3 linked regions of the Lepisosteus oculatus genome follow. The protein of the gene in region 2 interacts with the protein of the main gene of each other region in a biochemical or structural test. Links are inferred from orthologs where the notes say so. Each region holds a gene or a part of one and is shown on either strand. Other genes may lie near its edges.

Region 1 (10,452 bases), on a different chromosome or scaffold from region 2:
TTTTAAATGCCTTTCACAACAATCTTGGAGCAAAAACAATATCTGACGCACAGTATTTAAAATGTCACTTCTAAAAACATCAGCAACATGAAGAAGACACAAATACTATAGTTTATTTTAAGGGGTAAGGTTTTCAGAACTGTGTTCTTAATACTTTCAGATAAGCACCAATACAAGAACACTTGAAGAGAGGGAGAAAATGGTAATAACAGGATTTGACAATGGATTTCTCTGGCTGCTTTTAAATGCCAGAGGACAAACATGGGAACAATGTCAAACGCACACACTGCTTCAGAACTGCCAGTACCATTTACACTTTCAGAGAAATGTACTCATGTTTTGAGCACAGTCTCTTTTTGCATTGTAAGAATAATAAGAAAACATCATGGTTTCTTCCTTATGCTGCTAATATATATTTTTAGACTTCTTTCCTAAAACAGACAGACATTTAAGCCTTGCTATCTATTCCACTGATGCAGCACAGGCTTAAATAATTGCTAAAATTATCTATAGCACTTTGCATTTCTATTTATACAGCAGACATATCCTCTATGTTCAAATACTAGACAGATGTGGTGCATTCAATACAGTTCATGTTAGTGACATAGCACAACACAGAGGCAGCTTTCCTTTAACATTCAACCACTGTTGAATCAGACTATGATAACGGGCAGTAATGACGACAGACATTACAGGGACAACCTTTGAGAATAGCCTAGAATATTTGTAATCATAATAACACATACTTGATTTGAAAAGTTGAAATTGTAATTGAAAAGTTGAAAGTAATGTTCTGCTGTAAAAACATTCACAGTGGTTCCACTTTCCTTTTAATTTCAGTCGATGAATTCTCAGTCATGTGATATTAAGCTTCCATCAGGTGATTAATTGGTATCCAGCAATGCAAACTCAGATGTGTGGTACCATTCCACTTTCAGGAAAATACACCACAAGACTGCTTAATCTCTTATTCGTGTATTTGAAAATATCAGAGAGACAAGCTAGTAAAGTTAGCTTAAAAAGCTTAAAAAGGTATGACAAAAGCATATTATTTCTGAAGCTGTTAATGTAAGACCGTTTGAACAAATATGTGGCATCAATATAATAGTTTGATTAAAAAAGAAGAAAAGTACCGAAGGAGGCAACACTAAGCTAAACTACTCTCTGTAGTTTTAGTTCAGAAATGATTAAACTGTTACAAATATTCATCTCAATTGGACTGAAAGTGACAAAAGTGTTGTCTCAGTAAATGTGGAAAAGGCTGATGCTGTCTGCAGATGCACAAACATTTCTGCTGAAACAGTAACATGTTCAACACAAATGCAATTTTTTCAACCCAAGGGATCTCAAAGCTTTTTGCATACAGAAGGCAATACACTTCAACCTGGGTGATGCATAGCAGCCAGTAAATTAAGATTAAATACAGCCTTCATAAGCATCTGTTTAGTACACATTTACTGTTATAGCTTTTCATCACTTGTATGTACAGTATTTAATTAAAGGAAGCATGGTGGCACAGTAGTTAACAGTTCTACATATTTATGTACATGTATGTAGAGTACTCTGCAGAATTTTGAGTTAGTTTTATTCTTAGAAATACAGTATATTACTGAAACAACACCAGAACGGGCAGCATGATGGCACTGTGGTCAGCATTGTGGTCTTGCAGTGCTGGAGCCCTGGGTTCAATACAGGACCTGGGGTGCTATCTATGTGGAGTTTGCATGTTCCAGTCCAGTCCAAAACATACTGGTACAGTAGGTTGTCTTCTGAGAAAACTGGTGCTGGTGTGAGCTCTTATGTGTTATTGTCTGTCTGCCCTGCAATGGACTGGTGTCCTGTCCAGGGTGTACCCTGCCTTGTACCCTCTGCTCGCCTGTATGGGCTCCGGCTCCCCTGAGACCCTGAATTGGAAGAAGCAGTTAGAATATGGATGGATATAACAAGTCCATAGTAGGATGTCCAGATTTTGTGGGACTTCCTCACCTTTTGCATAATATTAAAGTGCAGAGAGATAAGACCAGTACATAATAATAGTAAACTCTGAGTAAGACATTTTATTAAAGATGCGTGTTTAAAGTCTTTCCAGGTTTTTAAAAATATAAGAAATGTAAAAGTATTTATCTATCCTTAATAGACCATATAAATACAAACTATACTATCATGCTCACAGTAATTTCAGACCTCCTCTCAATTCTGATCTAATATATATATAATAGATAAGATTACTTTACAGTATGTTTTTTCAATTATTTACCCCTTTAAGGAACAAGCAGTTGGGGATGAATTTATGCTTATGTTTTATATAATTATACTAATTGGGAATGTATTTTAGTGGTTTGGACACATTTTAGAGTTCTATTGTTAAAAAGAGTATGTAATATAAACATACAAGGTTTAAGCATTATCTAACAGTTGTCAAGTAAACTAATCAATTATGATGTTCCAGTATGACCCTACCATGACTCATCTTTGATTTTCCAACTGTACCAACCTCATCCTCAAGGCTCTGGTGTTGACTTAGGCCCTGTAGGGACAGATATTTAATTTGATCTGTTTGGGCCAAAAGCATGTTGAAGGGTAAAGGAAATGATGGAAGTGAGCTGTCTAGCTCTTAACATTTGTCATTTAATTTACAGTCTCATGCTAGCAAAAGCTGAAAAGTCTTCTCCGCCCAGTAAAGTATCCATGTGTCAAGTTTTTCCATTGGTACACTGGAAATCTGGAGCAGAATAACAAACTTCTTTTGGTACTGAGGGACTTAACCTATCCACTACCACAGTAGTGAAATACTTAATGCGTTTTCCTCAGCATTGCAGAGCCAATTCTATCATATCATAGTCCTATCATATCCCAAAAGAAGTGTGTTGGTCGAGGTGTTAGCAAATCTAATATAATATTACGTTTAGGTCCTACTTAAATAAGCAACGTACTTCTCACTGGATGTAGTACTTCAAAGAAAAGACTCGAAATACATGTACAGCACAACCGTCCACAGTTCACCATTCATTTTAACTTTATATTAATGGATTTAGGATGGGAAACGAAACGCGCCTCAACACTGTTAGTGGTCCATATAACTGGAGAATTGTGCTCGTATCTATTTGCATTCACAGTTTTCCACAAAACGAAAGCATGAAAATTCAGTTAACTGTCTAAGTGTCAAAAAATGGTTTTGAACAGTCTTTTCGAAACCGATCTAAAAAAAGAAAATGTTGAATGTTACCCAGTACCGAGAAAATGGAAAGAAATGCCACCTCTTCAGTGTGTCATAACCATATGGAGTTCACAGGATATATTAAAACGTTTTTCCAATAAACTTTTCTGGAGCTGTGATCTAATGCAATTGGTTTATGACTGCGTGAGGGGGTATTTTCTAACAAAAAACGAGGACTATTTAGAATTATTAGACAGCTGGTAAAATTGATTCAAAGGAAAGGAGTTGCTATTGAAAATGTTTTAAATAGTCGGAAGCACCACCTAAAGCCGCAATGGTTTTGATATTTTAAGCTCAGAATCTGAACTGTTAAATTATCATCTGTACATCTGTCACCAATTACCACCCAAACGGTAGTCTCAACTGCTTACGTTTATACAGTACATGTTGTTACATTGTTAAACAAAGATCGAACGCTCGAACAATGAATGCTACTCTTATCTCGAACTTTGTTTAAAATGTCAAATACCCCGAATACTACAAGAATATTATTCTGTATGTAATATGGGATTTCAACTTAATCTGAACAAATCATTCTGTTTAATTCTACTTTGATGTAGGAAATTAGCAGTCTCCTTTCTTGGATGTCCCTTACCGAAACAAAACTACGCCAGACCTTCTACAGAAATTTGATATTTCTATAGAAACATTTAGGTTATTGTTTTCTAAAGGATCTAGTATATATAATTTGCTAGTATTTTAAGAGTAGCTGACTTACCTTTAGCATGTGCTGGATGCTATTTGTATTTTCCCCATTGATAATCTGGGTCGACAAAGCAGACCACCTAGTCATCAGGGTTATATATTACTGCATCATTTCTATATTCCATTCGGAAATGATTTATTCCTTCTATGTAGACGTTCCCTGACATCCCCCGAAGCAATCCAGGACGATAATCCACTGTGGCTGCTAAATTATTTTCTTTTCAAGAAAAGTTGTTTCCCAGGTTCAGGACAGTTTTGTATTATTAAATTGACATGCTTCTTTGTTCTCTCCGATGAATAATAATGTGAAGATCTGAACAAAACATTCCTGGAAAGGGTTTTGTGTGTTTTTGCACACAAATTATATACATATCATTGTATGTACAGTACATTTTCCCCACTTCATTGAAACTAAAGCACTGAGATCAAACAATGCGATTGATACAGAGATAGGATAATTATCCCCAGAAGTACTTTATTTCAGGGTTTGAATAAAGAACTGTTGCTTCCTTCACTTTCTAAATTCTTACTCTGCTATTTAACTTTAAAATGTAAAAGAAATATCGAGTGGAAAAACACATGCCCACTACTTTTCTGATCAAAAAACTAATTTTACGGTGCAAGAATGAACAAACTACTGCCCTTCAAGAGGTTTAAATCTTCTATTTCGAGATTCAGACCAATCGCTAATCACCTGGACACTATGGCTTGAATTTCAGTACTTTGCTTCCAAGTGCGGCTTCGTTAGAGAAGAAAAACGGGGGGAAAAACTCCGAATCTAGTCATTTTCAAAGAAGCTCTTCTATTCCTGACAGAAGTTAGGCGCACCAGTTTTCCTCTTCTAAATCTAGCAGCGCTGTTAGATTTGGGAGGAGTCTTCACTTTTGATTTATGACAATTGTGACCAATCGGCAATCGATATTAAAAAGAAGGCAGTGATGATACAAGTCCTCAAAGCCAATAGGATGTGAGAAAAAAGAAAAAAACACACAAGAAAGTTAACATTATAAAATGTTGTAGCTGAATATAATGAGAGTTGTGTTATAGAGGGCTTAGTGTTTTATTCACCCTGATTTAAACATCAGGAATGTATCTGATTAACTTCGCAGTTGTTGTATTCTAGTACAAGTGGCAGATGCGTTTGTGCTTGATTGAGAATCCAGCGTCTCAAAGCTGTTCGAGATTTTGAATTAAAGCTCTGAATCGTAGGGATATTGTTATACAAACAATATACAGTATGTCTCTCACAAACGTTATTATTGGAAGCCAAATGTCTGAGTGCAAATCATCAATCAAAAGTTGTTTTCATGTGAACACGGGGTTCCGATATAGATTCCGAATAAGCATAATCTTTTGAATATTTCCGGATGAATGGAAGAAAGAGTATATGTACAGTACATGAATGTAGTATGCTATCAATTAATAACAAATCATCCCTGATGTACACTGCATTCTTAAGGCTTTATAAAAGTGCTTTTTGGAATTTATCCTTGTATTTTGGTTTTTGAGATCGCATCTTTTTTCAGTGTGTTAGTAAGCTGAACGAAGGTGAACCTTTCAGAAGCAGTCTTGATCTGAGGAGAGGGCTCAAAACGCTGAACAGGGAAACCCCAGGAATGCTGCAGGAGAGCTACGCAGACATCTGAACGCAGTGCCTAAGAGGCAGAAAGAGTGTAGCCATACAGTATACAGTAGTTGTTCAATATACACGATGCTGTGCAAAGCATTAGATATTTTTGACATTTTTTGCACTGTTCTGCTCTTTTCAGTCAAATTTTCAGGAGCACGGTATCTACTGAAATTATGAAATGGAAGTTCTACTGAAATCTTTGCCATTCTGTTTGAAGTGAACAGTTAAAACAATGAACATTTTGAAAAGGTCTGCATCTACATACGTTGTATTAGCTGCACATGCATACTTTGAATTGTTGGGATCCCGTTTATGAAGATTACAATCTGCAGGTAAAATTGTTTAATGATAAGATGTTTTTTCTTAGCTTTGCTAAACATTCAATGGATATCAGAAACTACTGGTGGAAGCTTTGAGTAATTTATAGTCATACATATACTGTTTTATTACTGATTGCACTGTATCTATCTGGTTAAAGTATGTAGATATCTATAGTATCTCTAAGATACTTTTGCATAGCACTTCTATACAATATATACAGATGCATTCATGCATATCCCAAATAAAAAAGCAATATAAAGTTTAATGTTTCTTGCTTAAAACAATTCTAAAAATTCTGTTAGTAGCTTTGTACAGATGAAAACCTTACTTCCATCACACCCCTCAATTAGTATTTTGTAAATCTTCCTTTGGCATAGATTACACTGAGAAGATGCCTCCTGCTATGACGTTCTGGCACTCCTGAGGGAGGATTTTTGAATCCTAGAGGCAGGATTCCTCGAGATCCTTGGTTTCCATTTGTGAACTGCCTTCTTGAGTTCGAACCACACATGTTGAATCGGATTAAGTCTATATGTGTATATGGTACAGGCACCCTAAGAACTAAACACACTCTAATACCATCTGTTTAATTTGGATCTGCTGGCATGATTCACTTAGCAACAATATTGACAGCATTTAAAGGCAATGTACTTAATTTTTTGAGGATTTATTATAGGAGTTATTAAGATATTACATTTTATTTACATATAATAAAGATATAGTTCAGTATATATAATCTGAAATGAATTAAAAACAAAAGGAAAAAAGACCAAAAAATCAATTAATTCCAGCTAGTTTTATATAATTATCGAATTCTTACAATTTAAAATTGTATACTGTAATAATATACAGGAAGAAATTCGTTTTGTATGGAATGTTACAAGCTAAACCTTGTTTATGTAGAACCAGGCACATTTGCTATGACATTTACAGCATAAATCCAAAATTTGGTCAATTCGGAGGTAATCTCATTCACATTTTTTGCCAAATCAAGATTTTAAGTTTCTGGAATTAAGTAATTAAGATACTAGTTTATGGTCCACACCATTTAACCCCCCAAAATGATTTTAAAAGTGACTTTTCTGATTATAAACAGATGTCTATTCAATTAAAGCTCATTTTTATGTTTTTAGTTGTAGCAGAAACAATTCTTTTGGTAAATTGGAAATATATGGATTCTGCTTTGTCCTCCTTTCAGATTAAGACAATATTGGATAATCTTTGGCAATATCCAGATGCAAAATGGAAGGTAAACTGAATTTGCAGTATGCATACTGGATTATATGATGGATGTTGTGGCCTCTTCAGATAAATCCCAGGAAGAATTTAAGAAATCTGCTTAGACAATGCTGTTTTTCATTCATATACAGTATACTGTATAAGCCTTTTATGTACCTCATTTTAAGTCAAACTGGACTATGCAATACGGTGACAAGGACAGTTTCTTTCAACATTTAAAGTGTTTTATATGAGTTTATTCATATCATCTTGAATGTGTTCCTGCAGGCAGGTGAAAACCAATGCTTGGGCAAGATTTGTTTTATTATACTGTAGTACTACAGTATAATTAGGAGTTTAATTATATGTACGCTCTTTTTCAATGACATAATATTTTATAATCCACTGTTGGTTAGCGCAAGGGAAGCCATGCAGTCATAAGTGATGTTCAAACTGAAAAAAATGAATGGAAGTTGATGTTGAAAATGCCAGAGCATACTTTTCTATACTTTGCAAGTTTCTGCAAAGGAAAATGGAGGAGAAATATTAAGATCATTGGATAAAACTTACCATCTGATGTGAAACTAATACTGGATATCATACTGAACCACATAGGATTCATTCATTGATCAAAAGCTGATGAACAACTAAGTACATGTTGCAAACAAGTATGGGCCAGTTGTTCAGAAAGACTGAACTCATTAATACTATGGATCTCTGAGTAATGTCAGCCTTAGAAAAATATAGTTGGAAAAATGCTGTTTGGGTTTTAAATATTACCTTGTATGCACTTGGAACATGTTCATATAGCCATACCAGGAAGAAATCATTAATTCATTTTTTTTTTATTTTCCTCAAATATTGTATAGTATACTTTTAACAAATAAGTGTCTCACCTCAGAAAGTTCTACTTTTGAAAATGATATTTAACAAATCAGGTTGAAACAATCAATTGAATTTTGTCAAAAAGAGAAGCAACAGTTAACATTTCTGCCACATCATAAGGCACTGGAAGGTTATGGATGTTTCATGCGAACGTTTTACTTTGTTTCCATGGCAACCTGCTCTTCCAGATAAGACCAGACATGCTATCTACTTAGTGCAGCATAACCTATGCAAATTTATGAGACAAATATGAAACATGAAATCCATGTACTGCTGTTTTCTGTTTATAATTAACTGAAACATAATACCTGTGCTTATGGATAATGTAGGAAAGTCTCTTCTGTTAACCCAGCAATAAATGGGGTTCTCCATTTATCCCCAGATAACAGCTTTGAAGGTTTCTGGATTTATCTGTTTCTTTAAGACATTTGGCTATAAACTGTGGAGCCAGCATTTGATAGTATTTGATTCTAAGAAGATGTAGCAAATGTTGCTTCAATGATACTGGTTATACAATTGTCATGCACTCACATTTGTTTGAGTCCCAGTTACTCCTAGGACTGAATCCACATTATCTCAAAGATTATTGTGCTAGTGATTTGTGGATGCAGACCTACATAGTAAAAAATGCTAAGGTAACATACAGTACATCCGTGGATACATGTTCATTAATCACTAGTGTTCATTTGAGCTGTTCCCTTGCATATCTATTATGCAATGTGCTGGTGCAAAATGGTTGTGCCTTTTCTCCCAGCTGCAAATGCAAATTATTTTGGGCAATTATTTTTGCAAATGATGGAGAACCTTATGATTAATGAAAAGCTCCTCTTTGTAACTGATCCTTCAGATACTTCTTCACAATTGTTCTTGTAAAGAGTGTTATAGTCTCTCTATCTTTAATGGTGCAACATAATGGTCCTACATAATTAGCACCTGGCCAAGTCCAATTAACAGTGAAGCATGTCATTTCTTGTGATTTCTTCTTTCTACTAAAGTAGTGATATTGAGAACTGACAGTTTTGAAAAAGCTTTGCTCATGCTTTTTTGTCAATCATCAGTGAGATTTCAAACGTTAGAATTAATTAATAAAGTTAAGTAGGCTAAACACTACTGTTTCTGTACAACATATAACAATTTAAATACGCAATACATATAATTATTCCGTATTTTAAACTCAAAGAGAAATCTTTTGTGATATTCTGAAGTCAGTGATATGGTAGTTAATGACTAATTTGTTAACTAAACCCATTACAATGTGTAAATAGCAGTATAATAGTTAGATATCACAGGGATTTATGTTGTTAATCCCACAACTAGAAATAGACATATTCATGAACTTTAAACCCCTTCTCAGGTTTTACTAAACAATATACTCATCCATCCATCCATTTTCTAACCATTTCATATAATTCAGGGTCGAGGGGGAGCCAGAGCCTATCCCATCAAGCAATGGGCACAAGGCTGGATACACCCTAGACAGGACAGATAGGATCATCAGCCACTTAATTTTTACCAAATGTTTCTAATTACACTGAAAGACTACTGCCATCTGTACTCTTCATTAGATTTGCTTCAGCTGATCTGGTCTGTTTGTTTGGCCTTGTCCCATAACCTTGTCCACAGTGGCACAGTGTTTAGTTAGCATTGCTGTCTCACAGGGTCCCTGTGTTCAATTCCAGATGTGGGGTGCTAATTGTATGAAGGTTGCATGTTCTCCCTGTGTTCATTTGGGTTTTCTCTGGTTACCGTGGTTTCTCTAAACATATTGGTAGGTTAATAGGCTTCTGGGAGAAATGGCCCTAGTGTCACGATCGCAAATCTGCATGAAGCCTGTGGCTGACTGAGTTCACCAAACCCTTTGAGTAATCATTTGAAATGCTTTTCTGCAGCCACTCAAATACATTTACAGTAAATCTGTAGTGTGAATTGGCCAGTTTAAGATTTTCCACTTTTGTCTCCTGGTGAATTCCTTAATTGTATTGACCATATGTTTTGGGTCAATGTCATGCTTCATGGACAGGCTGCACCCAATCACTATTAGTGCATCTAAAAATGTTTTTATGAACTTCAGAATCATTCTACTGCTGCCAAAATTAGGAACATCATCTATAAATATGAGTGAGTCGGTTCCAGAGGTGGCCACGCATGCCCAGGACATGATATTAGCTCCATCATACTTCACAGCTGAGTTCATGTTTTTTGGTTCTTTCTCCTTTTTGTCACTGTGATAGAGGTTTATTTTGATCTCTTTCATCCATAAAACATTGTGTCAAGCTCTCCTGGATCTTTCTTGTACTAATCTGTTTTGTCCTCGGTGCCAGTCGAGGTTCATATCCTTGTAATTCTGCAGTCTCAGTCTACTGCTGACTGTCGATTTTTATACCTTCACCCCATGCACTCTAGAGGTTGTTGGCAATATCACTGACAGTTGTTTTAGAGTTTTCTTTGACAAATATGATATCTGTTCTGTCATCAA
Region 2 (11,185 bases):
TTTGAAAGCAACTTCCCCAAAAATAAGCTGTTATGTTATTTAAATGTATGTGATTTCATAGAAAATTATCTTTAGTGGAAGAGAAAACCCTGGACTTTCAAGTCTTTGAGAAGCTTTAAGGCTCTAAATAACCAAGAGTGTACTAGAAAGAGGACTGCACTGCTCTTTTTCCAACCAGTTTTACTTACCAAACAAATGTACTTTCACTAGCTGATTAACAGTCTATTACTGTACACAATCATTCATACCTCACTTTAGCCCTTGATTCTCAGTCTGTGTTATAGTGCAGATGTCTTTTAAAATGTTTTCAAATGAGCAGCATGGCAGTTACAAAGGTAACCTGGCTAGTTCTTCAAGTTTTGCTTCTTTCTTAAAAACAAATTAACTGTCCTGGTTTTGCAAGAAGGCCGAGTGCTCTGAAGTCTTGCGTCTCCAGACAAACTTAGAACCATTAAGCACATGTGATGCAATTAAAAGATGTCAAATACAATCAGTGTTGTGTGTAGGCAGTAAGTACTGTCTACTAGGTAATACTTAAGGACATATCGGTGGTACAAAAGAAGAACGTGGTCTTTTAACCTTCTTGGGACTAGTAAAAAACACAAAAAAATAAAAACTTAAAGTTTTAGGCGATTTGAGGTAGGGTCCACACCTGGCAAATAACGGGTAACAACCTATAAATATACACGGTGGGAAGCTGTGAGCTTGAACATCACCAATGAAAAAGACTTAGAAGCATTCATGCTGACATTTTCATTTCCTAGACAGGAAAATAAAAAAAAATAAAACAATTCAAAATTGTTTAACAGTGTCAAATTGAAACCAAGGGATGTTGTACTAAAACTGCATAATGCAATGAATGCACAAGCTGTGAGTTCCTTCCATGGATGAATAGTGCAGAATAAGCATAATGTGGTCAGCACCGACATCCAACCTGGGCTCCATTTTATGCTTAAATGACACTTTGTTTTCACCAATATGTGGCAAGCTCTGTGTATCAATCTCCCTCTCTCCATCTCCACTGATTCATTATTTCCAGCACATTTTTAATGCATACTATATTTGATATTTAATCAATCTAATCACCAGGATTTAAAACTTCATAAATGTCTTATTTATAAATGTCATGAATGGTAATACTGCACATAGTCATGCAATGACTAAGAAAGGATTACTTCCGACTTGCGTAAAAATCGGGTTATGTGAAGGCTTGCTTGACAGAACTTGTAGGCAAGTATGGAAATGGGCGTATTCATAATCCTCAGGGGCTTTGACTAAGTCAATCTTTTGGATATCTTGGGAATTGGCAGTTAAACACAAGCCAGAAGACACAAATGGACACGAAGGGAAAGTGGCCTGCTATACGAGACATGTCCAGCGATCCAACTGGAGAACATCAAAAGACAACACGGAAGCCTTTTGTGTTTTTAAAGCCATATATTTTAAACAGCAGGTTGAGTGTTCTGTATTTTGTAGGGATCAAATAATAAATGGGATTTAATTTTTTTCTTGCTTTTAGCCAGTTCTAAAAAAAACACTGCAGTGCTACTCCAACTCTGGCAGTCCATTTGCAGCTAACCAAGCTGTCTTGGCACATTACAGTATTCAAATCCAAATCCTCTTTACAAGTCATTTAATATCCCCCCATCTCCTCTGGTTTTGCCAAGAAACAGCTGTGTTTTAACCCGCCTGCAGTTGGTCCACCCTGCCTCTCATCATGAGGTCAGATGACTTCATCCCTCAGCTTCTCTCTGGCTTCACTTGCAATAAGCCCCATCAATTACAGCCCCATATCTACAATGGGACACAGTGCTTAAGAACCATTTACTATTTTCTTTCAATATAACATGCATCACCGAAATGAACTGAGCCACGCACTCCCTTGCAAGATCTTGTTGACCACAGCTGACAAATATCACAAATCTCTACAGCACAGAGGTATACGGGATAATTTTGCCCCACTCCCCACACTTGACACATGGCTTTAATGAGCAATTCGTTATCCATAAAACACAAGCTTCACTGAATTATCAGTGTTGAAAACAAAGCATTAGAAAGCAAGGCGAGGGTTAAACACTTTCAGATCTGCAACACTGAATCCTTCTGCAAGTGGAATAGAATTACTTGCTTACGTCAAGTGGTCTACAGTACATGTCCTGACATGACAAACGTCTACAGCGAATTCCCCATTAACAAGGTTAACAGGAGGGATTTAATCCCTATTTCCTACTATCAACATTAAAAACATAATTCTGTAGCTACTGAAGCCACTCAAAAGGACAAAAGTACAAGGCATTAAGTGTTATTATGAAGAAACCGGCATACTAGTGAAAAGATTAATTGTTTTGAAAGGAAATCTGTAACAGAGTTAGATAAACCATTTATCAGATAAAAGTGTTACAGAAAAGAATGGCACTCATTCATTAATATTTAGTCGGCGCTGATGCAAGAGGGACATAAAACTACAAGTTAATGAAGCTTAAGACAAGAAAAAAAGCTGACCCGGCTTGGGTATAAAAATCTGGCAGTAGCACTTTACAAATGAACTAACAGTTTCAGGGCAAAGTTTCCAGTACAGTACAATAGCTTTCCTGAAGACAGGCAAATAACTAACTAAATCAGACATTTAGCCCATGTGCCATTCATAAATTGCAAACAAGGCTTGGATGGCTAATTCCAGAGAGAAACGCTCCAAATTCTGAGTTTATCACAACAATATTGAGGCAGAGTTCACCTTCTAGTTTAATTTGGGTTTAGGTTAAAAGAATGTCTAACAAGATACATCTTGATAGCACTATCATATCTGACTTCAGTTAGGAGAAAAATAAGATAATCTATAGCCTTTATTTTGCATCTAGCGCAACAACAAAATAACCATGTACTGGAGAGAGATCAGATATAGTTTTATGTGCAATTCATCTGACAATTTCAGCTAAAGACAACCACTACTGTAACGCAGGGCATATTCACTACTGTAACCTGTGGCGTCTAAATCTAGAAGATTTTTAAAACAATAAAAATCTTATCTTGGAGAATTAACAAGATACAGACCAAACTGTTGTAGTTTTTTGTTGTTATATAGTAACCCCATAGGAATCTGGTCAGGTACCTGGAATTCATCATTCTCATAGAGAGGAGTTCTGTAATCAACATCTCAGGAGGACGAGGTTTGATCACAAGTAATGAAACAGTCAGGTGCTCCACGCAGACTGACTGACATTTCAATTAACTTGACTAAATGTATCCAAGAAAAAAAGTAAACATCAGATATTTCCATTGACTTCTAGATACACAAGATTTAGCAGAAGGAACAAGGAGCCTGGAAGAGTAGTGGCTCAATTTAACAGACTTCTGTTCTAACACTAGTCCCTCATCTCCTCTACTCTTCACCCCAACACACAGAGAGTCCACTGGTAAAACCATTATTGTGGAAGAATTAACTTCTGGTGTCCAGGTGCTCAACAGAAACCAAAACTGCTTCTGCAAAACCTGCAAACCTACTTCTTTCTACCCTACTGCAATTCGCATTCTGAACAGCTAACTGCAATGACTCGGACTCAATGCACGTCTGCACTAGGCACTTTCTGCATGGTCTACCGCGTTTTTTTTTTCCTTTCACTACTACATATTTATCATTCCCGTTGTTATTATTTATTATGTTGTACTGTACTGTCTACATTGTGTGGTGTTGCACAGTACGTGCATGTCCCAGGAGATCACCGCAATAAGAATTCTAATATACATATGGCAATAAACTCCTCTACTCCACTAAAAAGCCTTGCAGAAGAAACTATACTGAAGTAGCACTTATTTAAGTTTATTTTACTTTTTAACATGCAATATTGCATCAATGTCACAAAGGAAAGTTTATTTTACACACAGAATTGTTAAACAGAAAAATTACAGCCACTGCAAGCACAGTGAAAAGTGTTTAAAAGGCCCACTAATTAAGCTTTAATATATATTGTATGCAACGCATCACGTTTCTTATTAAAAAAACCCCAGAGAAGATGAGAAGCACAGGAAGATCACTGTTTACTCACACCTCAACAGACTGCTAAATTAAACGCTTATACAGTAGTGGCCAATCAGGCAAAAACAAAGGTAGTAAAGAAAAGCTATTTAGGAAGAAAGCAATTCCTCCATACCACCGCTCCCAGCAGCTTTAATAATGTTTGCCGAGAGCCCAAAGACTGAACTTTAATTGCTTCTTTCAAACAACGGCTTGACTTTGTGATATAAAGGTAATACTTGTGTCCACCACATCTTTTCAAACTTCACCGAACCCAGTCCATAAAGTATTTCAGAAAAACCTAAAATGAAATAACTGAAAAGCATAAGAAAATCTGACCCACCAAAGCACAAAGTGTATTCACATTATACAAACAGACACCGGCCTTTTTAAGGCAGGCTGAAGCAAAGATTAATTCAGACAGGGCTGTGAATACAGAGCAGTTAGAGAAAGAGCAATTTTTTTAAACACAAAAACACATGGGTAGGATTGAGCAAATCGGAAGTTTTTAATGAACTTCAACAGGCTAGACTTTACACTTGTTTGCCAGTAGACAAGTCATTTGAAACAAAGCAGAGAAAAAAAAGGGTTTAAAATGGTCCACTGAGCAAGATGTGTTACTTCACACTGGAAAACAAAGCTGTTCTGGGATTTTTCTACCAATGTTTGAGTTTCGCCTGACAGCCAAAAATGTTTTACTTTCAGTTTGACACACCCTAGGGCTCAGGAATCTTTCCAGCCAGAGCTAACATTTTTATGTTTTGAAGAAGAGAAATGTGGTTCAGAAAAAATGCTCATTTGAATTTAAAAAACAGCAGAATTTGATCTGCTGCTTAAAGATTTCAGTGTATAAAACAGAAAGGTTATAATAACATACCTTTATACCCGGTTATCCTGCACATAAACTGAAGAAGAATGTGTCAGGGGAACGTAGTCCTGCATCTTAAAAAGTGTTGCTCTTTTCCTGCTAAACTGACGGACTGGGGGATTTCCTGCTACCTGAATGATTATCAGGTCAGCTCTGCTGTAAACGTACCTTGTACCCTATGATAAAAATGCTTTAATATGTAAACCTCAAGCCCATTATAACTCATTGTACACACAAGGATGGGCCTGAAAAAGTGAGAAAGAGGAAGCAGAGTCATGGATGACAAATACCTACAGAAATGTTCAGACTCTCCCTTAAGTAGAAGTCATGTCCTGTAGCTAGCCCATACATAGCCTCACCACACCATTCCCACTCCCATCTGGAACACAATCTTGCTCCTACACAGGCCCTGGCTAATTCTTTTTTGCTTTACCCAGACTATCATAGACAATTTTTAAAGCAGCTTTAAAAAATGTACTGAAATGCAATGGCTTACAGAGGAAAATAAAGAGATTTTTAGCAGACAGCTCAAGTTGTAAAATTTACTCTTTAAATTGGTACTTTGGTACCACTTCAGGCTAATGAAGATTTTTATTACAACAAGAAACTGGAACAGGCTGCCTACATGCAGGCAGAGATCCTGCAGGCAATATCCATGTTCACTTTCCCACTGTTTCCTCACCACTGCGGTGCAGTAGCTTCCAGAAGGAAATTTACTGGAAAGCTTTCTCCTCTACCTACACAACCCACCTGCCCTCCAACTACAGATATTATTTTCAGGATAAATGGAAATACCCTTATAAATGCCTCTAAAGTGGGGTATAATCTATTCGGGCACTAAAATTCACGTTTATGTGACAAATCATCTGGCAAGCTGAAGCTTTTGCACAACCCTGCCTTCAAATGACTGTAATTATAAGGTATGACACATGGAGGTAATGCAGCAACAAGATATTCCCTAGAAAAATTGTAAAAAGTTTGGTAGGGGGGAGGGCAAGAGGGTTGGGGTGGTTAGAAGGAAGCACTTAATGAGTTTTAAAGAAGTCAATTGCATTTTTTCCCCATTTTGGAAATTCAGACTTCTTTGCCTAAGGGTACAAACCAGCATCCACATACTGTACAAGCACTCTAAGGGAAGCCCACGAAAAAAAATTCCCCACTGAAGGAAAGCTTAATTACTCAAGAAATGCCGTTGTTACAGAAAAGCAATAATAACCACTCAATGAAATGTATTCCCCCCCCCCCCCCCATTTAAAATTCAAGAAACATGTCAGTATAAAACAAAGTTTTATTTATTTTAGCATTTTAAGCAGTACACAACACAACTTACATTTTGAAAAGGGTTGCAGAGCACAGAAACAGTCCGAACGTAATGCTTAATAAATAAAATAGAAGGATGGTTGTTATAGTTGAATAATTTAGCAGCAACTTTCCTTTGTGCCATTTCAATTAGTATAAAAACAGAGTTTTGAAACAAATAGCTGGCATACAATATTTAAATCTTAGTGAAAAAAAATGAATTAATAACAAAACTAAATCAATCAAATCTTACAGTATAATAATGACTGTAACTGCCACAAAGTGAAGTGTAATTTGTCCAATAAGGAGTTCAGATCTCCATCTTTAACTGATAATACCTTGAGATGAACTGACTTACACCAGGTGATCAATCACACTTGTAAGAAAAGCAATCAGCTTAGCAAGCTGCCCACTTATCAACAGTCAACACCTGTAAGTTCATTATACTGGACTTGAACATAAGAATGACAGCAGCAACAGTTAAATTAAAGCACTTCTTCCTCATCATTCTCCTTCGGTGTGGTCTTAATCCTCCCCACCACCAATACTACAATCACAAATTCCTAGTGTCACGATACCGGGATCCCCACGTATCCTACCATCCCCCAGAGCCCTGGGAAAATAAATGTATGAATAACAAAAACTTGAAAGCATGAGTCTCCACATTATTGAAACTTACTTCAAATATATATATATATTTTATCGAGCAGATTCCTGGAGGGTGTCTGTCATTTATTTTCTCTTTCAATCAACATCTGCGGTACTAGCACTGCAGGACCATACTGGTTGTAATACATGCAAAAAGTCAAAATGACCTTTTTTTTCCTCCTCGTTCATGTCACGTCACATAAATTCACATTCACTAGAACAATGTCATGGAAACAGCACTGGTTTGTTGTCTCGCAGGCAATGCAAAGCCCATGGGAAACCCCAGGCTTGTTTTGAAGGTCTTGTTAAAAAGAGGGAAAGAAAATGTTTGTCAGGGTTAAGGTGATAACATTTTAACGCACTGCAACATGAAGAGGACGGGACACTTCACATCTCTATAGCTAGTTAAGCAAAGCTGGCACGCTGAAAACTACTGCAGTTATAACAGCAAAAGCATAACCCAAAGGCCCTGTATTTAAAGGAAATGTTCAAAAAATATTTTATGGATGGAAAATGTACTTATCTCTGTGAAATATACAGATGGATAAAATGCCAATGTAAAGTGGCTTAACAGAGCACTGGGCCAGCACACCCAGCCAGTACAAGCTGTATGCTCCACAATATTGAAGCTACCAATATTTAGGATTCTGTAGGATGGAGCACCATTTTTCCATGGGTTAATCAATTCTCACCTGGTTGATGGAGTTGGAAAATGTAGTCTTGGGTATTGTGCCTGAATATACCATAAGTTTTTTGACTGGGTAAAATAACCTGTTGACAGAGAAGACCATGACATAAGGATAGCGATGTCATGAGAATCCATTGTGGGAACACACATACTCTGTGGATGGAGGCACCGTCATGAAATCCTGGAAAACACCCTTCCTAGCAGGAGAGACCAGCTGCAAGAGATGATCCCTCACCACCAAGAATGAGTCTGAATGCACTCAAACCATGACATGAAACTATGCCTCATGACATAACAGAACCCTTTACTGTTGGCACCAAGCACTCAGAGTTTGATAGGTAAGCACCACAGATGCACTCGTCCTTTGTGTCAAGAACATGACAAGGATGATTCACCTGACCATACCATACTTCGCCACTGCTTGGCAATCCATTGCCTGTGCTCTTTGCACGACTGGACTGGCAAAACTCCATTGTCAGGTGTGATGAGTGTTTTCTTTCACTGCAACCTGACCACAGTTTCTCGGTGGACCCCTGTGCACTGGCTGCACAATGAAATTCGCAGTCAGCTGATCAGCAGTTGCGCATCTGCTTAGCCTCTCACCTCACATTAATACATAGATTGCTGTCTTGTAGTACGCACTTCTGCCCACTCAGATTTCCATGGTGACATTACCTTAAATACCACTGCTCATAAAATCAACAGCAAGTGGAGCCATCTTGGTTACTTAAGCTCCTGCCAAATACACCCCAACAATCGTCTGGCTTTCAAGGTCACTGGGGTCCTCTCTTGCAGTCATACTAATTATAATCATAAGCAAAAAAAGCAATCATACCTGAAAAAAAGCAATCAGGCATGTCCAATATTTTTATACATGACCCACAGCATGCTGGGATATTATTTGCTTAAAAAATGCATGAGCCTTAGCTGTGTAAAAGCCTTTGTTTTCATTACATTTTTTGTCCATAATTTACCCAAGTGTTTCCATTTTTCTGTCCGTTAGCTGTACATTTACCTGCACTTATAAGAGAAGGGGGGTTCTATCTGAAGATAAACAACTTTGTTCACTTGACTTACTGATAATATAAAATCCAAAGAAATAACAGCATGAACTAAAAAGTACATTTTTTTATTTTCTGGTGAAACAGCTCAAAGCTTCAAACTACTATCTTCTTTCTTTAGAGGATGAAGAAAAAGAATGCAACTCAGCTAAAGCACTAGCCCAAGGGAATCCAGTTATTCAATATCTGTGAACTCCAAAACAATAGCATGATCAAAATAAGACAATTATAGCTTTGATTCTTCAATAAGCTTGTGACAGACCACAAATCCTGTGATGATCTTTTTCCCCAGTACTTTGTTTGGCACAACGTCTGTAAACACTGAGTACTCAGGCAAATGGATAAACAAAATCCTGAAATAACAGAATAAGACAACTTTTTGGAATCGCACTACAGTTTACAGTTGTGTCACATCGGTGCGTGGGGCAATGGTGAATTATTCTATAAAATGTGAAAAACAATGAATTCAGCGATCCTGAGGGGGTCATAACTAAAGGTTATTTCACATGAAGTGAGAACAAGAGTATTGTAACCGTTCTCAAAAAGCAAAAAAAAAAATCTGATCTACAGTTACTTGTCCGATACAAAAAAAGCCTAATTCAAATCAGAAGCTTAGTGTTACTTAATTTGACCTGTTTAAGGGTACACAACAAATAAGGATTTGAATAAAGGTAATAAATCATTCAATATGTTTATAGTAACTAGCTAAGATTGTATAGTCAGCTGCTCATATACTTCTTTCCAACTCATTAACACACAAAACATGTCTGCAGCATACATTAAGAGCTATTACTATGTCCGTAACCTACAGTCTTAGAAATGAACATGTTCATTTCATCATGTTAACATTTTTCCTTTAACCTTTTCTGGAATTCAGAAATGGAAATGAGCAAAACTAGTCCTTTTTATTAGAAAAAATCACAGGACTGCACATCTTTAAAATCACAGAATGAAAATAAACAGAAGGTCTGAGGCCTCAAAGCAGAATACCTGAAAAAAATAACCCTTTAGGAAATAAATTTCCGTGAAATCTCGTCCCTTACATAAGGTTTCCCCAAATAACATACTGACCAAATCACTTAGCATACTAAGTGTTATAAGAGAGATCTAAGATAAGATACATGTAATATAGAAGAAGCCACCAAAGCATGGAGCAATTTCCAAGGAGATCACCATGTAATACTGATGAAGCACCTGATGAACTTTCTAAATTGAAGGTTTTAATTAGTGACTGAACAATATTCGGCAATGCTGTATTCTGATTCAGGTTCTCAACCTAAATGCCAACTCAAGTAGGCCATTAGGCTCATCTGGATTCTTTTGTAATTAGTAGCTAATTGATCTTAGAATCTTATCCAGCCACATCTGATCAACCAGATTTGTTTTATGTGCTTTCACTTCACCCTATTAAACTTTGAATTTACGGCTTTCCAATTTTCAGATTTCCCTAGACTGCTTCCACTCAATGCAATCTAGTATTTTTACAGTTCGTGCCGCACAGGAAACCCCGCTGCAATTTGCATTTGACATGGTTATGTAATAATGTGCTTTGAAGCCTCATTTATTTTTTACCTCTCCCTCACAGACACACAACCAGCTGTCACTTTGAATTCACTGAAACACACCCCCTTGTAGTGCTATGCATTACATTATGCCAGTGTTGTTGTGCAAGTCACACTTGACCTTAACCTGGAGGAAAAAGCTTGAAGACTACTCAGGCAATAATGCAAAGGACCTAAACCTGTATTACATGCAAGAGGGTAATACTGGCATTAATAAATGTACACCCATAATACACCAATCAACACCTTGCACCGTACTCAGATACTGAGTTAAGGATATCCATGTCTTTGTCATCTTCACTTAATCTGAAGTCGTCTTTAAAGAGGTTTTTGTACCTTACAGGACATGGAGAAGAACGAAAACAATTGTATTTGACATGCATCTAGGATGCTCCAGCGTAAACAGAAATGAGGCATGAATAGTGACTTTATTGAATCCAAAAGTAAAGAATTTCACACTTTTCTGCACAATGACTGACTTCAGCAGTCACAAACAGTTGCTCATCCCAGTGAAGGAAAACAGATACTTCATGTCTCATTTCTCTACACAGCTACCCTATTTTCATTGTCAACCCTATGAATTATATTCCTTTTTCTTAATAGGACCATACACAAAAATATGCAATGTGAACTGAAGTATTCGCCATTGTATCACAATAAAAACGAGGGTATTATTAATATAACAGATGTTAAGAAAAGAGTATATGGTTGCCTTGACAAAAAAACATTCAACTTTCTTGTACCTTTTTTGTCATTACAACCTCTCCTTTCTTTCAGATTTATCTTAATGAAGCTGGAGAAGGCCAGTGTAACATCTGCAGCTGGTCAGTGTGTTCATGACCACTGCAAATTGTCATGCTAGACTAAACAGATGCTGTAGTGTTCTTTGTTTTCGAATACTATTCAATGAGTCACACTGCTCTTGGACAGTGAAAGTACAGAAGTATTTACACATGCATATAAATAAAGCTATTTAAAAAAAAAACAAAGAAACACAGTTACAAGATTAGCATTTTAAGATCCACAAATTTACATGTTATGGGTTTT
Region 3 (10,582 bases), on a different chromosome or scaffold from region 2:
AAATGAGTTTCTCAGATTTATACGCAACAGGACTCATTGGGGAAAGTACAATCTGTACAAGTAGTGTAAAAAAGGTTACAAATGATAATTAGACTATTATTTCAAGAAAAAGAATTTGACTTGGCATGTTTTGTTTAACCTTCAATGAAGGAAAACTAAAAATGCTCTTATCTCCAGCCACAGCTTAAAAAAACCAATAAATCATGCTCCAGCTCTGCCAGAAACTCCAACAAGTAATGTATTAATGACCTACGGACTTTCTGTGCAAAAGATCTGTTAAATATGTCTGTTAAACATGCTACATATTCAGCAGAGACTGACTACACAGGCCGTGCCATCAGTATAAGGGAGGCAGATACCCAAGCCTGTAGAACCAGATACCAGCCTAGTTAATGATACTGTACATCATAAACAAACCCACAACTACTGGATACATTCCTGTACATGGAAACTCACTTTAAAAAATACTTAGTATACAATGACAAAGTAGTAGCTATCATCACATAAGAAAAGTTCTAACTCAGGGAAAGACACTTTGCTCATCTTGATCATCTGGTTGCTTTTTGACCAAAACATTCCATGAAATCTGCAAATTGCTAAATTTCTCTGCGGCATGTTCCAACAAAAAAACGAAAACAACCCTGTCTGTAAAGAAGAGCCTCCAGTTTTTAGTTCTAAATATGCATTTTCTTTGCTTCCATTTTTATCCTTACACTGATATTTCTGTGTTCAGAAGTGTATCTTTGGACTAGCTTTACAAAACTCTTTCAGGATTTTAAAAACTTACATTAAGTCCTCTTAAAACCTGGAGATTCAATTCCTTTAACCTGTATGATGTTGTTTTAAAGCCAGAAAGTAACTCTGCTATCCTTCTTTGAACTCCATTTCACAGTTTTACCATAATAGGATTTAGACCTTTCAGTCTTAATGTAAATCCAACAGGGTTTACAATAACCAATTTCATATCTCTTTAAACTAAATTATGAATTAAACAATGAGTAATGAATTACAGGGGATGTGAAAACGTAAATGAAACCCTAGTTTCATTAGCGCAGTTAAGGGATTAATTTGAATAATATATTTCAATAAATAGGCAGATTTAGGGGGCTAAATTTAGAAGCCCCCACCCTATATAAAGATTAGAAACATTCTGAGTTTGGTCTTCACCATACAGGTGTGTGGAAACAAGTCATGCCATAATCGAAGGAAAACTTTGAAGACCTCCTAAAAAAGATTTTGTTAGTCGTCAGTCGCGAAACTTAGCACCATTACTTAGGATACGAGACTCCACCCATCTACTGTCAGAGAGTCTACAAATGGACTGTTCAAATCCACAGACACTCTACCCAAGAGCACTTGTCCTACCAACATCTCTTAAAGAACAAAGCAGAAAATCAAGTTCTAAAGAAGTTCTAAAGAATGCCAGAGTAACATCCTAAGGAACTGCAAGTCTCCCTCTCCTCAGCTAATGTGACTATTCATGCCTCAACTATGAGAAAGCAACTCAATAAGAATGGTGTTCAAGGAAGGATAGCGAAGAGAAAGCCACTGCTCTCCAAACATTGCTGCTGGACACTGATAAGACAAACCCATTTTTGAACATTCTTGCTGCCTGCATAAAATATTGTCATCCAGGTTACATATTGAAATATTTTACTTCAGCATACCTCCAACTGAACATAAACTATTGAACCAGGTTTCAGTTTTCAAGTAGCTTGATGTTTTGATATTACTTGTCTGACACCCCATTTAACCCAAATGACGACTGCAAAAGTGTAACAAGACCACTCCTTTACAGGCAACAGTGAAACAAATGCCCAATAGCACAAGCACTAATAAAGAGACTGTGCATTTAGGACTGGAAGCAGGAGACACTTCTTTCCTTAACAAAATGTTGTCAGAATCTGCAACAAGTTACACTGCAACATTGCTAAAAGCAGGATAGCTGGAATGTTTCAATGAATGGCTGAATGAGACTCTTGGGTCAGTAAGTCACTATCAACCAAGCCAGAAAGAATTAACTGAAATGTCTCCATTGTTTCTAATCCTCTAAAAAGTATATTTTTTTGCATCTTTGGGTTAACATAAATTAGATTATTAGTGCCCTTCTGACTCCTCTTCTAGTCTGTTCTAGACTTTCTCTCTTTTTGAGAGAGTGTGAGAGTTAATGCCACAATACATGTTATGATAACTCAAAAAGAGTGCTCTCCGTACCATTGTCGACTTATAGCGTTTCCTAAGAGCACTGTACTCTACAGCCAGTTCTAAATCTCTAGTGCTAATGACATGCTGTAATTGATCAGTTTGCTTGTTTAGACATTTTATTTAACTTGTTCTTCTGCCGGTCCTAAGTGCCAAAAATACCCAACTTCAAAGGTACTGCTTCCTACAACTCCAGCAAGCAGATCTTTGCTCAAATTATTGGTCATAATTTATGATGAAAAAAGTCTTACTATATAATCGATGGATGATGGACAGACACACATGGGAATGACACTGTCAGACCCACCCACTGTGGAAATGGCACACCCACTGGTGTATAGGCTTTTTTCCTTCTGGAAAAGTCCAATCAAAGCCATTTCAGGCAGCACACCTGACTGATGAGTATTCTGAAACTCAGACACTGGTACAGGGTTGATACCTATTTCGAATCCCATTTGACCTGTTGAGAGCTGAAAGCAAATGTGTCTCTATGCTGACTGCAGAGAGAAAGCTACAAGCAGCAGCCTGTGACTAGGAAGCCAGCAAACACAGTGCTCCCCAGGACCTTTCACACCTGCTCCTTCAGCTGCTTGATGGAGTGCTGCAGTGTCAGGATGTGGCCAAGAAGCGGACTCCGCAAGGCATCTCTCAGCGCTCCCAGCCTCTCGCTATGCGTCCGGTCATCCCGGTCTTTCAGCTTGGACTGCAGTCTCTCCAGGGCCTGCAGGACCTGCTGCCTCTCTGAGGTCGAAACTGCAAACCAAAGAGCTGGCTTAGCCAGGCACCACCTTTTCCCGAATGAGCAGACTGCTAAATGTGCCTGAAGAGAAACCTGTCCTTGCCGCAGCTGAGCTAAAACAAAGATTGTCGGATTAAGGGAGTGCCCATCTCTTTCATAACACAACCTGCTCCCACGCAGCATTTACAAACTGTACCCCGAGAAATAATTACTGAGGAGTACATAGAAATGTGAACAGGTGGAATTATCTCTTAATTTACTTTCTTATGGAAGAAACCTTGGCCACATTCCACCCAATTCTAGCCCCCAAAAATGTATTACCATAATTGTAACTTTCCTACAGTAGTTCAGAATATATTATTCACTCATATTAAGTCAGGAGCTCAGAAATGTCTAATATAACTATATACAGACCACAAACATATATCAAGGGATTTATACCTGATGGGATACTTTCAAGCATTTTTTCTTCTTCTGAAGATGTTCTCCTAATATCTATAGAACAATGAAAAAAAGAGATTGTTAACTTAAAAACTTACTACAAAAGTTGTTTCATTCGAAAAATCCTAAACTAAAACAAGCTGGCTTGCATGTTATATAATTATGCTGGATTTGCACATTTTAGGTTACAGCAGCAACCCCAAGGGAACGGTGCTCGTATTCAAAACCATACTACACAGAACTACGAGATATGTAGAGCCATTGAACGCAAAATTAAAATGATAGGCTTTTTAAAAAATGTATCGATAAACATCATAAACTTTAGCGGAAGAGAGGCGAGGCTAATCTTTATCCAGCTGGTATACTATTACTGTCATCAGAAGTTTAGAAACTGAATTTAATTTGCCAACACGTCTTGCCTTCTCTGAACTGGGTTGCCTAACAGGAAGTTAGTTGTACTCGGGTAACATATGTTTCTGCTCGCTGAATTTACCTTCTGACTCCTAAGCTCTAAAATTCATAAAGTACGAGGAAACGGAACAAAGTTAAGAGTATTCAAGTGACATTTACTTTTTTGTAATTATTAAGAAAAAATACACAATCAAATTTTCAACACCACGGGAATACATTTCTCTCTCCTTTCTTCCGTTGTCAAAGTTACTTTTTGTATGCGAACTGCATCTACAAACTGAGATAGGACAGCATTAAAATCATGCAAATATCGAGGATTTAAAAAGGCAAGAAATGACTAACATCCGCGTCCATGCTATGCTTCTTAAAACTTGCTAAAATACAGCTGTATTTCAAAATCTGTGCTTTCGCCTCTGAACAGCTACTAGTTAAACAACTGATCTTGCTTTTGTATAAATCTACATTAGGTAGCTGGAGTGGTACAAGAAATAAAAAACGGCGCTTAGCAGTGATTTCTCTCGGCTTACCTGTCCAGCGGAAGTTTGTGAACTACGGATGACCGCACCTCACCTGAGAAACAGGAAGTGTAGAAATGAAAAAGCCGTGCCAGGGAGAGCTCACCCTGTCCGTAACAGCGCTTTCTCCTCAGCTACGCCAATCTACGATCTGGACGTGTAGACAGGTGTATATACCTGGAGAAGCACATTTGGTGCAGATTACGAACATCCAGTGTTACTTTGCTAAATCCACACGTTTTCCATGTCATTATTTATACGAATAAAGCCTCCTTTTTCGTTTCATTGAAAGGGACGTTGTTAAAATAAACCATTTGCGGTTACGAGTCTGAGAAAGAGTAATTAAATATAAATCTATGGAATATTTAACTTAATTATAAATTGCAGTCATTTCTATTTAGTTGCCAAAAGACTACGGTGCTGTACTATGGGTGTGTATTAAGTGGAGTTTTCATTGTTAGCCACTGTTATGCAACAAAATGCGTTATTTGTAAGATTAAAAAATAACCAGTTGTGTGCCTTTAAGGTGAAAGAGCTTCCCTCCTCACGTGACTTACGTGTCCGACCAGCATGGCTGCCTCCAGGAAGCGAGGCTTGTATTTACTGTCATTTTTGTGGATTTTAATTTATTTTACAAGTTCTAATGAGGCAGCGGTGTCTACAGACGACGTGAAAGAGTGTGACAAACTTCTGCTTGGACAATATCCTTTGATAAGTGATAAATCCTCTGGTTTGTATTCGGGACACTGTTGTGAATTTCCCGTCATGTTAAAATCTATCTTTGTATTTGAGGTCGATATTCTAATATAAAGTCCGATTTTTTCAAAATACGTTTTGGTCGTATTGTAGTAGTATGTAACTTTTGTGATATGTGTATGTGAGCAAAAAAAATCTACAGCGTCTGACGTGTGAAATACAATACGAACAAGAACAACGACTTAGAGGTGTTCGATTCCTGTAACTACGGTTATTGCTTCTTCCAGAAACGCGAGATCCTACATATTTTGACCTACAAATCCGATTATATATATATAATTTATTGCAATTATTATTGTACAGTAAATTAGGGTGACAACACGTCCTCTTTTTCCCCGGACATGTTCTCTTTTTGAGACCTACTGTAAAATATCGGTCCGACCGGGATTTATAAAATTCCAAAAATTGTACGTGATTTTGTTTTGCTCGTACTCAGACTATGTAAACAAACATAGGCCTACATGTTTTCGTTCGTTCCATGCATTACCGGTAGATGTTTTGAATTTACACGCAGCGTAGCCTGAAAAGGGTTTGAGTGTGTGGCTGTTTTTATGGCCATGAGAAATAACAATGTTTAACTTGTTTCATTATATTTCAAAAGGTTTTTGCAACCAAAGACGACTTCTCCTAAGTTATGATGTCTTCATTTTTCCTCAGATGATAAGACTTTTGTTGTGTTAAAATGAAAAACAAAGTTTAAAATAGGGCTAGATTTTTTTCCTTGTGTGCCAATTATGGATGAGAAATGACAACCCTGCAACTGTTTAAATGTTTACTAAGAAGTTTAATAAAAAAAAACTAGAGAGTTTAAATTGATTTTTGATTAGAAAAAGTAATAAAGCTTCATTACTTTGGAGGCATGTGTTGAGTGTCGATTATCCCCCCCGTCCTCTTTTTTGAAAAGCCAAAATATGGTCACCCTAAGTTAAACATTTGAAGTCATATTGGTGATTGGTTTTATCAGTAGCCTATTACTGCATGCTCGCACACCTTTGAATGCTGGGTAATCCACTAGTCTGCTGGATCATACTTGATAAGTTTATGAAAATTGTGTCAATTCACTGAGAAGAGCCTCGTGTGATACCCCTATTAAATGAAGAGCTACATCGATGCCATTGCTTAGTCTTTATATAGTAATTGGATATGCTAGAGCGAAAAAGTCGAGGGTTAATTTTGCGAAAGTCGAGTTACAAATGAGCTGCATAAGCAGTCTCGAATCCTGGCATTTGTGCAAACAAACCTTTTGCCACATTAGGTCCCTGTTTGCTGTTTGTTTAATATAACTATCAGTATCGGAGACGATTCAATGAAGAAATTGCTGTCCCCAGTGCCTAGGGTATTGTTGTATGTTTGTATGTGACTACCTTAATAAAAAGTGCTCCCCAAATTACCCATACCCCTGGTCTAATCTGTTTAATTGATTCAGATGTATTATGGCACTGTGTAAAGTGGACTGTTTAGAAAAATTGAATGGATACTTGCTATTCCTTAATCTTCAACACATATCTGTGCAAGGATCCCAAAATAAACGATGACACGCAAGAGCCAGAAAACTGTAAAGATCTAATAGCTTACGGTGAGTTTGATGTTAATGAACTATTATTCTAGTGTTGGTCTTCACCCACACAGTCTGGGTCTTCACTAGGTTTGTTCTTTGTTTTGGCTCCTATTGGATCCTACAGGAGCTGGCAGCTCAGACCATGTGGAACATCAAAGTGCAGTGCAGAGGGACTGTTGTTTGGTCTCTCTTTATTGTTGCACTGCTTATTTGTATCTGTGCTGTGCGCTGCACTGTATTGATTATTTCTCACTGTTTGGTGTGTCTTGAAGGCAGTTTCCATGCTGCTACTGGTGAGGGACCGCTGTCTAGATATTGTTCTTACAACCTGAAATGATGTGTTTTAAATCACATAGCAAGGGCTTTTAAGAACCTTTATATAAGCACAGAGTGCTTGGCATGTCACTTATCTCTGAGAAGACCAAGTTCTCCAGATGGTATTATTTCTTTATAATGTCTTTAAGGGACATTTAAGAATCAGATGCTACTAGTCGCAGAAAAGTCTTGAAACTATTAGATGAAATGACTACGTCAATTTCACGTATCGTGTAGGGCCAGGGGTTTATTGTAGAGTGATGCACAACTTTTGATCTAGTGCAAGGACTCGCAAGCAATTTGTTACTGATCAAAAAAACCTGCAAGCAAACGTCTGTTCTCTAAACAACTGGCCTCAGAAACATTTTTCTTATTTTGTAAAAGTGTTTTTAACAAAGCAACAGTAAAAATAGTAGTGATAGTATTATAACTAGTGGTAAAAAGTTATTTTTCTTACTACTATTGAACACAAAACTGCATTAAGTAGCAAGCTGATATTATTGTTATGGAATTTTTAACTCTTTTTATGTTAAGCTGAATCTGTGTTCTTGAACCTTTTCAGTTGAGTGTTTTCCTGCCCGTGGGATAATTTGTCGGTGTCCCAATATGACAGTCATGAATTTCACAGGAGCAGAAGTTGGATTTTACAAACCTATCCCCTGCCGAAATGTGTAAGTAAACCACTTCTACATGAACATGCAATTAAAATGGAAAATCCAGGTTTACTTCTCCTTTATAAATGAAATGGCAGGCAGGAGTGTGGAGTAGCTAGGGGCTCTTGACCCATAACTGGAAGTTTTTCAGGTTCAAATCCAGGTAAGGTCCCACTGTTGTACCTGTGAGCAAGGTACTGCTCCATTAAAAAGTCCAGCTGTATGAATGAATGCAGCTGGGTATTGCTTTAGGTGAAAGTGTCAGCCAAAGTAAATTGATATATTCTTTCATTTTTCAATGTGTTGAAAACAGAGACAAGGCAGAAGTTCATGCTTTTCCTTTATTCCTTTGAATGTTTCAGCATTGCCAGATCTCTACATCTCTCCTAGTCAAAATGAGTGAAACCCAAAGCTGCACTGACCTTGTAAAGCCCTTTCAAAACCGACCCTGTAAAATATTTCCTTTTCATAAGGAAGCCTGAGCAAGGCTTTCATATTCTAGTGCCAACTGGTAAGATTCAAAGCCTCAGAAATCACAATTCTAGTATTTTTGTTTTCCTTCCGTGTTGCTAAAGACGAACTGCTGCGGAAATTCTCCAAATCTCTGCCCTTTGTTGTTGAGTAAAACCTTCAGACCTTTTCTGCCTATCATAAATGGGGATTTTTGGCCATTGTATTAGCGCTTTTCAGATTATTCTCTGTTTTGTCCCAGTGAATTCATGGCTACAGCTCTGAAGCTCTGAATTTGCAGTAGCAAATTAATCTGAGTATTCACCTTAAAGGTTAAGGGGTCTTCTTCTTGATCAGCGGTTGAAAGGAGAGTTTGCCAGTAGTTTGCTTTCCCTGGTGCCAAACACTGCAGACATGTCTATAATGTTGTTCCGTCTTGCCATTCTGTTGAACAAGGCCGCTCTGTACCAGCCCTGACACACTGCCTGAGTTTGACCACCTCATAGCTGGGCTGAAGCAGTCAGCTAGAAACAGTAGATCGCAGGAATAGACTCACCTGAGAAGAGGCTGGGAGCAGCTGTGTGGAGTCTCACTTATTGACCTCGTTATTTTGTCCTGTTTTGTGTGTTTAGCAGTGGTTATTCATACAAAGTTGCAGTCGCCCTGTCCCTCTTCCTTGGCTGGCTGGGAGCTGACCGCTTCTATCTGGGCTATCCAGCACTAGGTGAGTGCAGCAGCTGCTGCTACATGCCACACACACAGGCTCTTGTGTTACATCCTCCAGTCAGAAAGACAATTACTGGCACTCCTAAACGGTATCATCTGAAGAGGAAAAATCCCACTTGCATTTTTCATTTCAGTTATATACAGATTGTGTATGTGAAGTTGTTTGTACAGTACACCCTTGGTTTAACAGACTAATAGGGGAAAGGGGTGTCCATTATTGCTGAATGTCCCTTAAATCACGTGTGGATCTTTTTTGGATTTTTTATCAATTGCAATCAACATAATCAGTGGCAATTGTTAAGTGCCATTTTTATCATTAATACACAAGTTATTTATTTCATGTATGGTGAATATACTATATACAATTCGCTAAAGGAGATGATATTCAAACACTCAGCGTAACCAATTTGCCTACCCCCGTGTTTTAAAGCAGGTAACTTCCACAATAACAATGACCACCTTCCCTGTGAGGAAATAAAACACTCAGTATATGAGTATATGTGTCACGCAATTGCTACATGCTATACCAATTGCCCTATCTTAGTGGACACCATCAATAGTCATGTCTTTTAGACCTATTTAAAGATATGTTGTACAAAAAATGCAACTTATCATTTTTTGCATTTAACTCTATCTGTTATTGTGGGGAAAGTCGGTTATTTTGTGACCTTACAGAAAAATTTCAACTGTAGCAGATTTTGTCCATTAAATTCATTAAAGAGAAGTTCGTCAAACCGTGGTTTTACTGTAATGGGGTTCTTGGCCACAGTTAGCTGTGGTCTGGGTCCAAGGACGCACAGGCACAATAAACACAGTTTGAGACAGTTCTTTTATTTTGTGCCGGGCTGTTGATAGAAATGTGGAAAGGAGCTGAGGGTGTGGGAATTCCTCATGGGGCTAGTTGTTTTGACATACTGGATATGCAGCTCCACCACACCAGAGAGATTTCATTCTGCGGAAGAGAGGCTGGTCTGTGACGTGTGACACATGGGACACTATAGCAAACGCCTCCCCTCCTGTTTAGATGCACTGTGAAGATCTGAATATTAAAAATAGTTTGATGCACCAAGCATGTACAGGTAGGTCATGATTAAGTGGCCGATGTGTTCCTAAATGTATATCAAGAGAGTGTAAAGTAAAAACTTAGTCCCCGTAACTATAAATGTAATTTTGACAATGCATTCCGGGTGTGCTCCCAAATACGGGGAACATTGAACTCCCACATAAAAGCAATCACAATTAATTTATTCTCGGAAGATGGTTTACATAGTAGTGCTAAAAGTTATTTTTCAACTAAATGTTCATCATTTTATGTAATTGTAGACTTCACCATTTCATTTATTTAATGTTAAGTTGAATTGTTAAATGTTAAGTTACATTACTTACTTAACATTACGGTATTTCTTAAAATAACTATCAATGTCATTTTCAAAATATTGCATTGAATTTCTTTTTATTTATTTTTTCCTCACAGTAACTTTGTTTTAGTTTTTTTTTTTCTACAGTGTGAATACAAGGTACAGACTAAGACTACCTATACAATACACTTTATTGAATTATTTGGTAAGAGGATGATCAATGGCTGGAAAAACTTTGAGACAAAGAAAGCTGCCTATGTGTCACCCAAGCAACACTATTCATCCAGCATGCAACTGGGAACATGCAGCATGTATACAAACTCCACACATTTGGTACCCCCGGTCCAGAATTGGACCCTGGGCCTCCATGCTGTGAGGCAGCAATGCTGAACCAGTGTGACACCAAGTGAAAACTAGCAGTGTCCTAAAATAAGAAGTGGTATTTATTCTTGACGTAT

Evidence for each region. The genes of interacting proteins can lie anywhere in the genome.
Region 1: the proteins of pkp4 (region 2) and pdzd2 form a complex in vitro, tested with the Homo sapiens proteins (2 studies listed by BioGRID and IntAct, with this or other methods). The link is inferred for Lepisosteus oculatus from reciprocal best matches to the Homo sapiens genes PKP4 and PDZD2.
Region 3: the proteins of pkp4 (region 2) and patj interact in a test that uses a peptide from one of them, tested with the Homo sapiens proteins (2 studies listed by IntAct, with this or other methods). The link is inferred for Lepisosteus oculatus from reciprocal best matches to the Homo sapiens genes PKP4 and PATJ.

Annotation. Positions count from the first base shown.
Region 1 is NC_090698.1:39,801,233-39,811,684, forward strand, and holds the start of pdzd2 (PDZ domain-containing protein 2), read right to left. Parts: upstream 4,745-10,452; 5' UTR 3,936-4,744; intron 1-3,935.
Region 2 is NC_090707.1:12,702,414-12,713,598, reverse strand, and holds the start of pkp4 (plakophilin-4), read right to left. Parts: upstream 4,969-11,185; 5' UTR 4,915-4,968; coding exon 4,890-4,914; intron 1-4,889. UniProt on the Homo sapiens protein: Plays a role as a regulator of Rho activity during cytokinesis. May play a role in junctional plaques.
Region 3 is NC_090704.1:29,926,240-29,936,821, reverse strand, and holds the start of patj (inaD-like protein), read right to left. Parts: upstream 4,745-10,582; 5' UTR 4,321-4,744; intron 3,437-4,320; 5' UTR 3,405-3,436; coding exon 3,383-3,404; intron 2,956-3,382; coding exon 2,777-2,955; intron 1-2,776. Other genes in the region: tm2d1 (TM2 domain-containing protein 1), read left to right, coding at 4,879-5,014, 6,572-6,640, 7,500-7,608, 8,673-8,764.